Linked DNA regions of Macaca mulatta. The protein of the gene in region 1 interacts with the protein of each later gene in a biochemical or structural test. Links are inferred from orthologs where the notes say so. Each region holds a gene or a part of one and is shown in the gene's direction. Other genes may lie near its edges.

Evidence for each region.
Region 2: of the proteins of METTL22 (region 1) and KIN, one has a biochemical effect on the other in vitro, tested with the Homo sapiens proteins (2 studies listed by BioGRID). The link is inferred for Macaca mulatta from reciprocal best matches to the Homo sapiens genes METTL22 and KIN.

The regions. Positions count from the first base shown.
Region 1 is NC_133425.1:9,860,360-9,864,555, forward strand, and holds the start of METTL22 (methyltransferase-like protein 22), read left to right. Parts: upstream 1-1,392; 5' UTR 1,393-1,482; intron 1,483-1,632; 5' UTR 1,633-1,968; intron 1,969-3,111; exon of another isoform or gene 3,112-3,207; intron 3,208-4,196. UniProt on the Homo sapiens protein: Protein N-lysine methyltransferase. Trimethylates KIN at Lys-135 (in vitro).
Region 2 is NC_133414.1:9,286,918-9,291,171, reverse strand, and holds the start of KIN (DNA/RNA-binding protein KIN17), read left to right. Parts: upstream 1-1,445; 5' UTR 1,446-1,485; coding exon 1,486-1,599; intron 1,600-4,254. Other genes in the region: ATP5F1C (ATP synthase F(1) complex subunit gamma, mitochondrial), read right to left, coding at 1,156-1,211. UniProt on the Homo sapiens protein: Involved in DNA replication and the cellular response to DNA damage. May participate in DNA replication factories and create a bridge between DNA replication and repair mediated by high molecular weight complexes.

The DNA.
Region 1 (4,196 bases):
ACTCTCCACGTTTTATTATCAGTAACCGTGAAATTGATGTTGATTTAATTCTGTTTTGCAAAGACAAAAAAAAAGTAATTTAGACAAAGGTTGCCAGCTGAGGCCATGTGCGTGCATGTGTGTACACATGAGCACACAGGGATATAGATTTTACATATGTGGACTTTACACATGTTCCTGTGTATTTGTGTGCTGACATGTCTGAGAATGGACACCACTGTGTGTGTCTGGGCACGTCTGTGAACACATCAGTGTGGTGTATACCCCTGGCAGCTCCCCATCTCACGCACAATAAAATCCGAAGTTCTTACAATGTCACAAAAGTTCTAACCCTGGCTACCTATGTATCGTTTCCTACGGCCCATCCCCTGGCTTACTCCATTGTGGCCAGGCTGACTTCCATGATGTCACTGAACACACAGGTTGAGAAAAGGGCCAATATCACTGACTGTACTTTTTCTAAAAATGCAGTGACTCAGGCAAGAGATGTGAGAACCTGTGCTCTCTCCTGCTCATCCTCTTCAGGGCATTCTTCGGAGAGCTGTGCTCAGTCACCAACTCAGAGGCTTTGTGAAATTCTGCAGGCAAGAAAAAACGAGCAAACATGGATTCTTTTTTTTTTTTTTTTTTTTGCAAACATGGATTCTTATGTTTGCCACTTTGTCCCACCCCCTTGGTGTTGGAAACTTGATAAGCGTATGAATTAATGAAATCACTACCACCTATTAATAACAACGAGTACTGGCTGGGCGTGGTGGCTCATGCCTGTAATTTATGAGCTTTGGGAGGCCGATGCAGGAGGACTGCTTGAAGCCAAGAGTTCGGAGGCCAGCTTGGACAACATAACAAGACACAGTCTCTACCAGAAAAAAAAAAAAAAAAAGGTGCCACGCAACTGTAGTCCCAGCTACTAGAGAGGCTGAAACAGAAGGATTCCTTGAGCCCAGGCGTTCAAGGCCGCAGTGAGCTAAAACTGCGCCACTGCACTCCAGCCTGGGTGACAGAGCAAGACCATCTTAGAAAAATAAACAAACAAACAAACAAATGGGTACTAAGAGCATGGATAACGATTACACTCGTGATAATAAATGCAGTAGCATGCTGGTTAAATAGCACAGGCTCTGGATCCCACACCCCGGGTGAATCCAGGCTTTACCATTTAGTAGCTGGGCGAGTTATTTAACTCCTATTTAACTCCTTTAGAGGAATGAGTTTGGCCACACATGTGAGGAGATGTTCCCACCTAGGCGGGTCCCCTCAGCAAACACGTCTCACCTGCGACCAGAGTGAAGCCTACACTGCCGGCAACCCCCGCACGCATGCGCGGCCCGGGCAGGTAGGTGGAGCCACGGTGCGCTGCGGTCAGATGGTTGCACGCGGGGGCGGGGCCGCGCCTGCGCAGACCGCCTGTTATGGCGGCCGCCTGAGTCCCACCGACCGACAGCAGGGTCGGATGGGACCCCAGGCTGAGCCCCGCGGCGGGTAAGTGACTGGGAAAAGAGACGGGACAGGGTAGGGTGCAGGGAACCTCCTGGCGCCGAGCCTACTTTGAAATCCGAGCTCCCACGGATCTGAGGCCCAGATCCCTGAGGCCCGACCCCACTCTTAGCCTGTTTCCCCTTCTGAACACAGGTGTTGGGGGAAGAAGTCCACGTCGTCGCCTGAGTTTCCGTCCTGGGTCCAGGCACCTCTCCTTCGGTTCAAGATTAGGAAGGGAGGGCAGTGCCCGACCTGTGACTGTCTTTTGAGAGGGCAATAGTTAACCCACAAGGGTGGCGTTAGGAAGGCGACAAGACAAAGGACGAGGAGCCCCACGAGGGACGTCCCCGGAGCCCCTCACTACGACTCTGCGCGCCGTGGCCAGGCTACGTTTTACCCACCCCCAACACAGGCGTTCACACCCTACCCTCCGTTATCCAGCTCCTGGCCTAAATCGTTATGGGATCGCGCCAAATTCCTGATTGTTGAGTGAGTTGCACTTATCAGAAAGAAAGAGGAGGGAAGTTATTTCAACACCGTGATCCCAGCAAACTGCTTATTTGGGACAACTGACTGGGGACCTATAGGAGAGGAAGGCTGACAGCGTCTCAGTCTAGGCAGCGTCTCAGTCTAGTCCCCAGAGCCTTAGAAGAGCCAAGAACACGTTAGCTCCTGCTGCAGGGATGAGCTTGCAGCCCTATGGAGAGGTGGCGGGGCGGGTCCCCATCTGCAACCTGGGGCTCCTTTCTCAGCTCTGCCCAGTGAAGAGAGGAGCCCCAAATGCATACAGACCCTGCATTCCTGGAGGGAGACTTTTCCTGACTAGAGAAACTGTTACCTTTTTTCTTTCTTCCCAGCATTCACTTTAATCATCATATTGCTATAATGATAGTACTTACTATTGTTGCTTATTGAACGTTTACTATATGTCGTGAGCCCTAAAAGTGATCATTGTCTCATTTGCTCCTCACACAGGCCCTGAGGTAGGTTCAAGAGAGCCTTCTTATTCCCACAGAGCTGATTCTAGGGAAAACCACTTAAAGGGAGTCTCCTTCACCTGGGACTTACATTGCAGTGTGCATTTCTTGGGAAGCCCGGTTGGATTGAATTTAAAAATGGAAAATTCAATTAGAGATTAAGAATTTAAGTTTCTTTTTTGTCTATACTTAAAATTTAGTGTGTAATGTTATGCCCACTTTTGGAAAAAGCAAAGAACAGTGATTTTTCTGGGATGTAAGTTTTCCAACAAAATTGCACTATAGGCCATGTGTGGTGGCTCATGCCTGTGATCCCAGCACTTTGGGAGGCCAAGGTAGATAGATCACCTGAGGTCAGGAGTTCAAGACTAGCCTGGCCAACGTGGCAAAACCCTATCTCTACTAAAAATACAAAAATTAGCTGGGCATGGTGATGTGTGCCTGTAGTCCCAGTTACTCGGGACACTGAGGTAGGATCACTTGAGCCCAGGGGGCGGAGGTTGTAGTGAGCTGAGATGGCACCACTGCACTCTAACGTGAGCAACAGAGTGAGACTCTGTCTCGGGAAAAAAAAAAATGCACTGTGGCGAAAAAAGAAATAGCATCCTTTGGTTCCATTTTCAAAGAAATGGCTTTTGATTTTTTATTTTTACAGCAATATTAAAAACAGAAACTATATGTGAAAGTTCTCAGTTTTCCCCCAGGACATCTCTAAGTCCTGAGAGAGCTTGATCTGCCTTTGAAATAAGTGGTAGGTATAAGCTGTATTTTCTCTTCTGGAATCTGATCTAATTTTGCCAATCCCATTGATTAACAGTATTTGCCTGAAGGTCCAGCACTTTCAATGACACCATGAAATTCTGCATTGATTTGCCAGATTCACAGACTTTCTTCACAACCCACTTGCATTTTGATGGCTTTATAGTGTTGAGTGGGAAAGCTAGCATGGAGACCAATAAGGAATCATCTTTTTCCTAAAAAATTTTTTGTTGGTACAGCTTTTGCTACTCCACAACAAGCACTTAAATGTAGGAACTCCGGCAGTGTACTGGGATAGTTAGGACACCCTGAGTCATGATGACCTCTTTTTGCAGTTGAAGAAACGGGGGCCTGGCGAGATTTCATGACATGCCTAGGGAACACATCTACCCAGGTAGGAACAGCTTCTGTAGGCAGTCAGGGGTTACAGGCAGGTTTGGGTCAAATACCTGAAACCAACCCCAGGACAAGGAGGTTGCTGGTGTTTTATTAACACCTACTGTGAGCCCAGGACTCTGCTCAGCACTTTACCCACCCAGTAACACGGCATGAGATTGTGGCTGAAGAAACAGATGCAGAGAGGTGAAGTATTTTCTTGAGATCACATGGCTAGGAGGTGAGAGACCAGGGATCCCCACCTGGTCTGTCCAATTTGAAAGCCCATCAGACTACTGCTGTTTGATGATACTTTTCCACGAGATGAAACATGTGTTTGGAGGGAGATCCCCCCTGTTTTTGACAACTTTGCCTCAACCATGGTTTTCCAAGTTTTAGTTATTAATGTATCACCTGCATAATTTTTCTGTATCTGTGTATCACCTGTGTAGTGATTCCCTTAATTACTTTTCCTTTAAATCCTCTCACTTTTTTTTTTTTTTTAATTTGTTTTTGAGAGAGGGTCTTGCTCTGTCACCCTGGCTGGACTACAGACTGCAGTGGCGCATTCTCGGCTCACTGCAACGCCCGCCTTTTGGACTCAGG
Region 2 (4,254 bases), on another chromosome or scaffold:
TTCTAAGGCCAAGCTACCAAAAATTCTATGTGGCTAATTCACATCAGATTTCATTCTGAAAATCTCGTATATTACTATCAGTTATTTGCTTAATGCAAAACGTATTTATTTCAATTAATGTTTTATGGACGCTTCAATATAAATTAGGATGCAAAAAACTGTAGCGCCTTAGAAATCCTCCATACTGTTTAGAGCAGGGAATTGCTACCACACAGCCTATAATCCCCTTAGCAGCGTGTCTGAAATTCTTCCAGATTCTGTCAAGATTCAAAACTCAACAGCACGACCCACAAACCAACTTTTACCTGCCCATTCCCAGGCCTTCTAATATGCATTCCCCCAGCCCAGGTCCCCCCACCTGGAACTAATGTTTAAAATTCTCGAGGCTCGTGGCACCATTTAGCTGCACCTCAGTTAACAAATACCACTTAAAGCCCACCGACCTCCTCCCCCTAGGACCTTGGGGCAATTTCATGACCTTGCAGGGTTATGGTGTCAGCAAGTGGTTTCAAGGCAGTGCTAGGTGTCCTTCCCTTCCCCGCCCTCAGACAGATCTATACCGTCCCTTCTGCACCAAGACCACCCTCAGGGGCATCTAGGATGTTCGCCTTTGCTGTTCCAGCACCCAGCAAAGCGTCTGCAACACGGGAGGTGCTCGACGGCCGCGCTCTCTGACTCGATCGAATCTTAAAGGGTCACTCTGTCCAGCACTGGAGGGTTTCAAAGGGCGTCAAGGACAAAAAGCACAACTTAACATTTCCCCTGGGCTATCGCTCAGGCTCCCGACACCTCGCGGGCCCTGAGACTGGGGGCCTGGCTCGCAGTGGAAGCTCAGGAAGTGTTGATTAGCTGAGGGAACTCAAGACCGCCCAGACGTCAATTTGGACTCAGGCCGCAGTCCCGAGGTCCCAGGTGGCCCTCGGCCTCAGGGGACCGGGCGGAACCTTGCTCCGCCGGAGCCGGGCCCTGCGCACGCCTCGCCGGCCTCAGAGCCACTTTCTGCAGCCCCCGCTACCCGGCGCTTCCGAGGGGCCAGGGGCCCAGTCAGGCCCTGCGACCCCAGATCTGCTCCTGCGCCCATCTCCTCCTCCCTGCCCCGTGCCCAAGCTCTTCCATCCCTTGCGGTCCTGCCGATCTTCCCGCAAGTTGCCATACCATTGAGGCTGCAAGGTCCAGGCCGACAGCCCAGCTACGCCCGCGCGAGAGAACATGGTAGCCCCAGCCCTGCTGAAGGTCGGTCAGGCAGGCCTCAGCGCGCATGCGCAGAAGCCTCCTAGCGCGTCCCTCCCACCTCGCTCTCTTCTTCAGTCTCGTTTCCTCGCGCTACGGCGAGAGGAGCCTCGCGAGCGTTGCAACCCAGTCTTCCCAGGACCCACCTCTTTCCGCCTCTCAGCTGGGATTTGTCCCGCCCACCGCCGCCAGCCAAGTTCCGTTTCCGGCTTGCTGGGCACTAGGGTCCAGAAAGTGACCGCTGCCGTGGTCGCCATGGGGAAGTCGGATTTTCTTACTCCCAAGGCTATCGCCAACAGGATCAAGTCCAAGGGCCTGCAGAAGCTACGCTGGTATTGCCAGATGTGCCAGAAGCAGTGCCGGGACGAGGTGAGTGGGCTCGGAGTGGCCCCGTCTTCCCAGGAGGGCCCCTGGGAATCCAGGATCAGGTCCTGGACGCGGGACTGAGGGCGCGGGGCCGGGGCTCTTGGGATCCGGGTCGTGAGGCTTCTGAGGTCTGCACTGGGCGAGTCAACTACTCAGCGCACTAGAGCCGTCCCTCCCCGCAGCCCGCGGGGCCAGCGGGCAGCCTGTGTTCTGCGACCCCTCATTCCTCCCTAGTTCCGATCCCCACCATCAAAGAAACGACATCAGAAAAGGTTTTGCAGCCCTCACAGGGGCGGGGATACTGCAATACTAGATGCCCGGGCAATGCCAGTAACAGTCATCAGCTCTGACTTGACTTGGCTCTTAAGAGAAACAGGGTGGTTAGGATTCACACCTCTTTTGGGATCAGTTGAAAAAGGAGAGCTAAGCTCTTCCACACAACTCATCTAGCAAGCATTTATTGAGAACCTACACTGTACCGGGCACTGAATAATACTGTGGTTAAGATTATGGATTTATCTGGTTTATGGATATATCAGACTGTCAAAATTTAAAGTCAAGCTGGGCCACTTACCAACCATGTGGTCTTGGTCAAGTTATTTACTTATATTCTCCTTTACTTATCTCTAAAGAGGGAATAATAATTTCACCTACTTGTAGGATTGTCGTTGAGTTTTAAATGAGTGAAGTATATATAGAGTGGCTCAAGGAGTCTGGGCAGATCTTGAAAAGCCTTATATGCTGCACTATGGAATTTACGCTTTTCCCCATTAAAGAGGTGGTTGATGGAATGCTGTGCAGGCTAGCGATGTGATCATAATTTTCTCCGAAGATCGGACTGGATTGGGTAAGGGTGGAAGAACACTGAGGCAATTGGAATAATCTAATCCAGTGTTTCTACAAGTGAAGGAAGAGATATTTTAGGTGGGACTCATACTGACTAACATTGATACAGTTATTCTCTTTAGTTCTATTAATGAATACCTGTATATCCATTATCTAATGTCTTAGTCTGCTTGGACTGCCATATAAAGTGCAATAGATTGGGTGGTTTAAATGACAGAAATTTATTTCTCACAGTTTCGGGGGCTGGGAAGTTCAAGATCAAGGTGCTGGCGTGGTCAGATTCTAGTGAGGGTCCTCTTCTTGGTTTGCAGAAACTGCCTCTATCCTCACAAAGCAGATAGAGCAAGCTCTAGTAGACACTTCTCTTCCTCTTTTTTTTTTTTTTAAGATAGGGTCCCACCCTGTTCATCATGCAGGCTCTACCCTTGTGACCTCATCTAAACCCGGTCACCTCCAAAGGCCCACCTCCTAATGCCATCCCCTTGGGGGTTAGGGTTCAACATATGAACTTTGGGGGGGACGCAAACATGCAGTCAGTAACACCCAGACTTAACACTTTAAGTAATCTTGCCATGTTTAATTTATAAAAAATATTTTAAAGTAAATTACCAATATCAAGATATTTCACCTCTAAATACTTAAATAGACATCTCTAAAATTTCAGGATTCTTTTCTATATAACCACAATATATGTAATCAACATAACAAAATTAATAGAAGTTCCTCTTTATCTAATACACATTCACACTTCCTCAGTTGTCCTCCAACTGCTTCTTGAAATCAAGATTCAATCAAAAGTCATGGACTGTTACAGATTTGGTTATTAGGACCCCCACCCCCCGAGTCTCCCTCATTATCAGCATCCTGCAACAGGCTGTTATATTTGTTACCGTGGATGAAACTACATTGACACATCAGTATCATCCAGAATCCATAGTTTACATTAGGGTTCACTGTTGGTGTTTTATATCCTATGGGTTTTGACAAATGCATAATGATATGTATTCACCATTATAAAATCTCACAAAATAGTTTAACTGCCCAAAAAGTTATCTGTGCTCTGAGTTATTAGGACTTTTAGTTTTCTCCAAATTTAATTCTCTCTATATTCTGAATTTAGAGTATAACCCATTTTCTCTCCACCCCTTTTTCTTTTTTTTTTTTTCCAGACAGAGACTTGCCTGTCTCACAGGCTGGAATGCAGTGATGCGATCTCACTCACTGCAGCCTCTGCCCCCCGGGTTCAAGTGATTCTCATGCCTCAGCCTCCCAAGTCGATGGGATTACGGTCACCTGGCACCACGCCTGGCTAATGTTTGTATTTTGGTAGAGGCAAGGTTTTGCCACGTTGGCCAGGCTGGTCTCAAACTCCTGTCCTCAGGTGATTCACCTGCCTCGGCCTCCCAAAGTGCTGGGATTACAGGCTTGAGCCACCGCGCCTAGCCTTCTTTTTCTTGACATTGACTTGTTGAAGAGAGGAGGCCAGGCTATTGTCCTGTAACATCCCATGTGTGTTGACTTGTTTCCTCTGATTGTCTTTTGCCTTCTAACTCGTAGTTTCTGTCAACTGGAAATTATATCTAAAAGCTTTGATTGGGTTAGGTTAAACATTTTGGGGAGAAAGAATACTTTGTAGGTGATCTTGATAGATTAATTTCAGGTTAAACACTTGTGGGGAGGAATATAGTTTTTTTTTGTTTTTTGGGGTTTTTTTTGTTTTTGTTTTTGTTTTTGAGACAAGGTCTCAATTGGTAGCCCAGGCTGGAGTACAGTGGCACGATCATGGCTCACTGCAACCTTGACCTTCCCAGC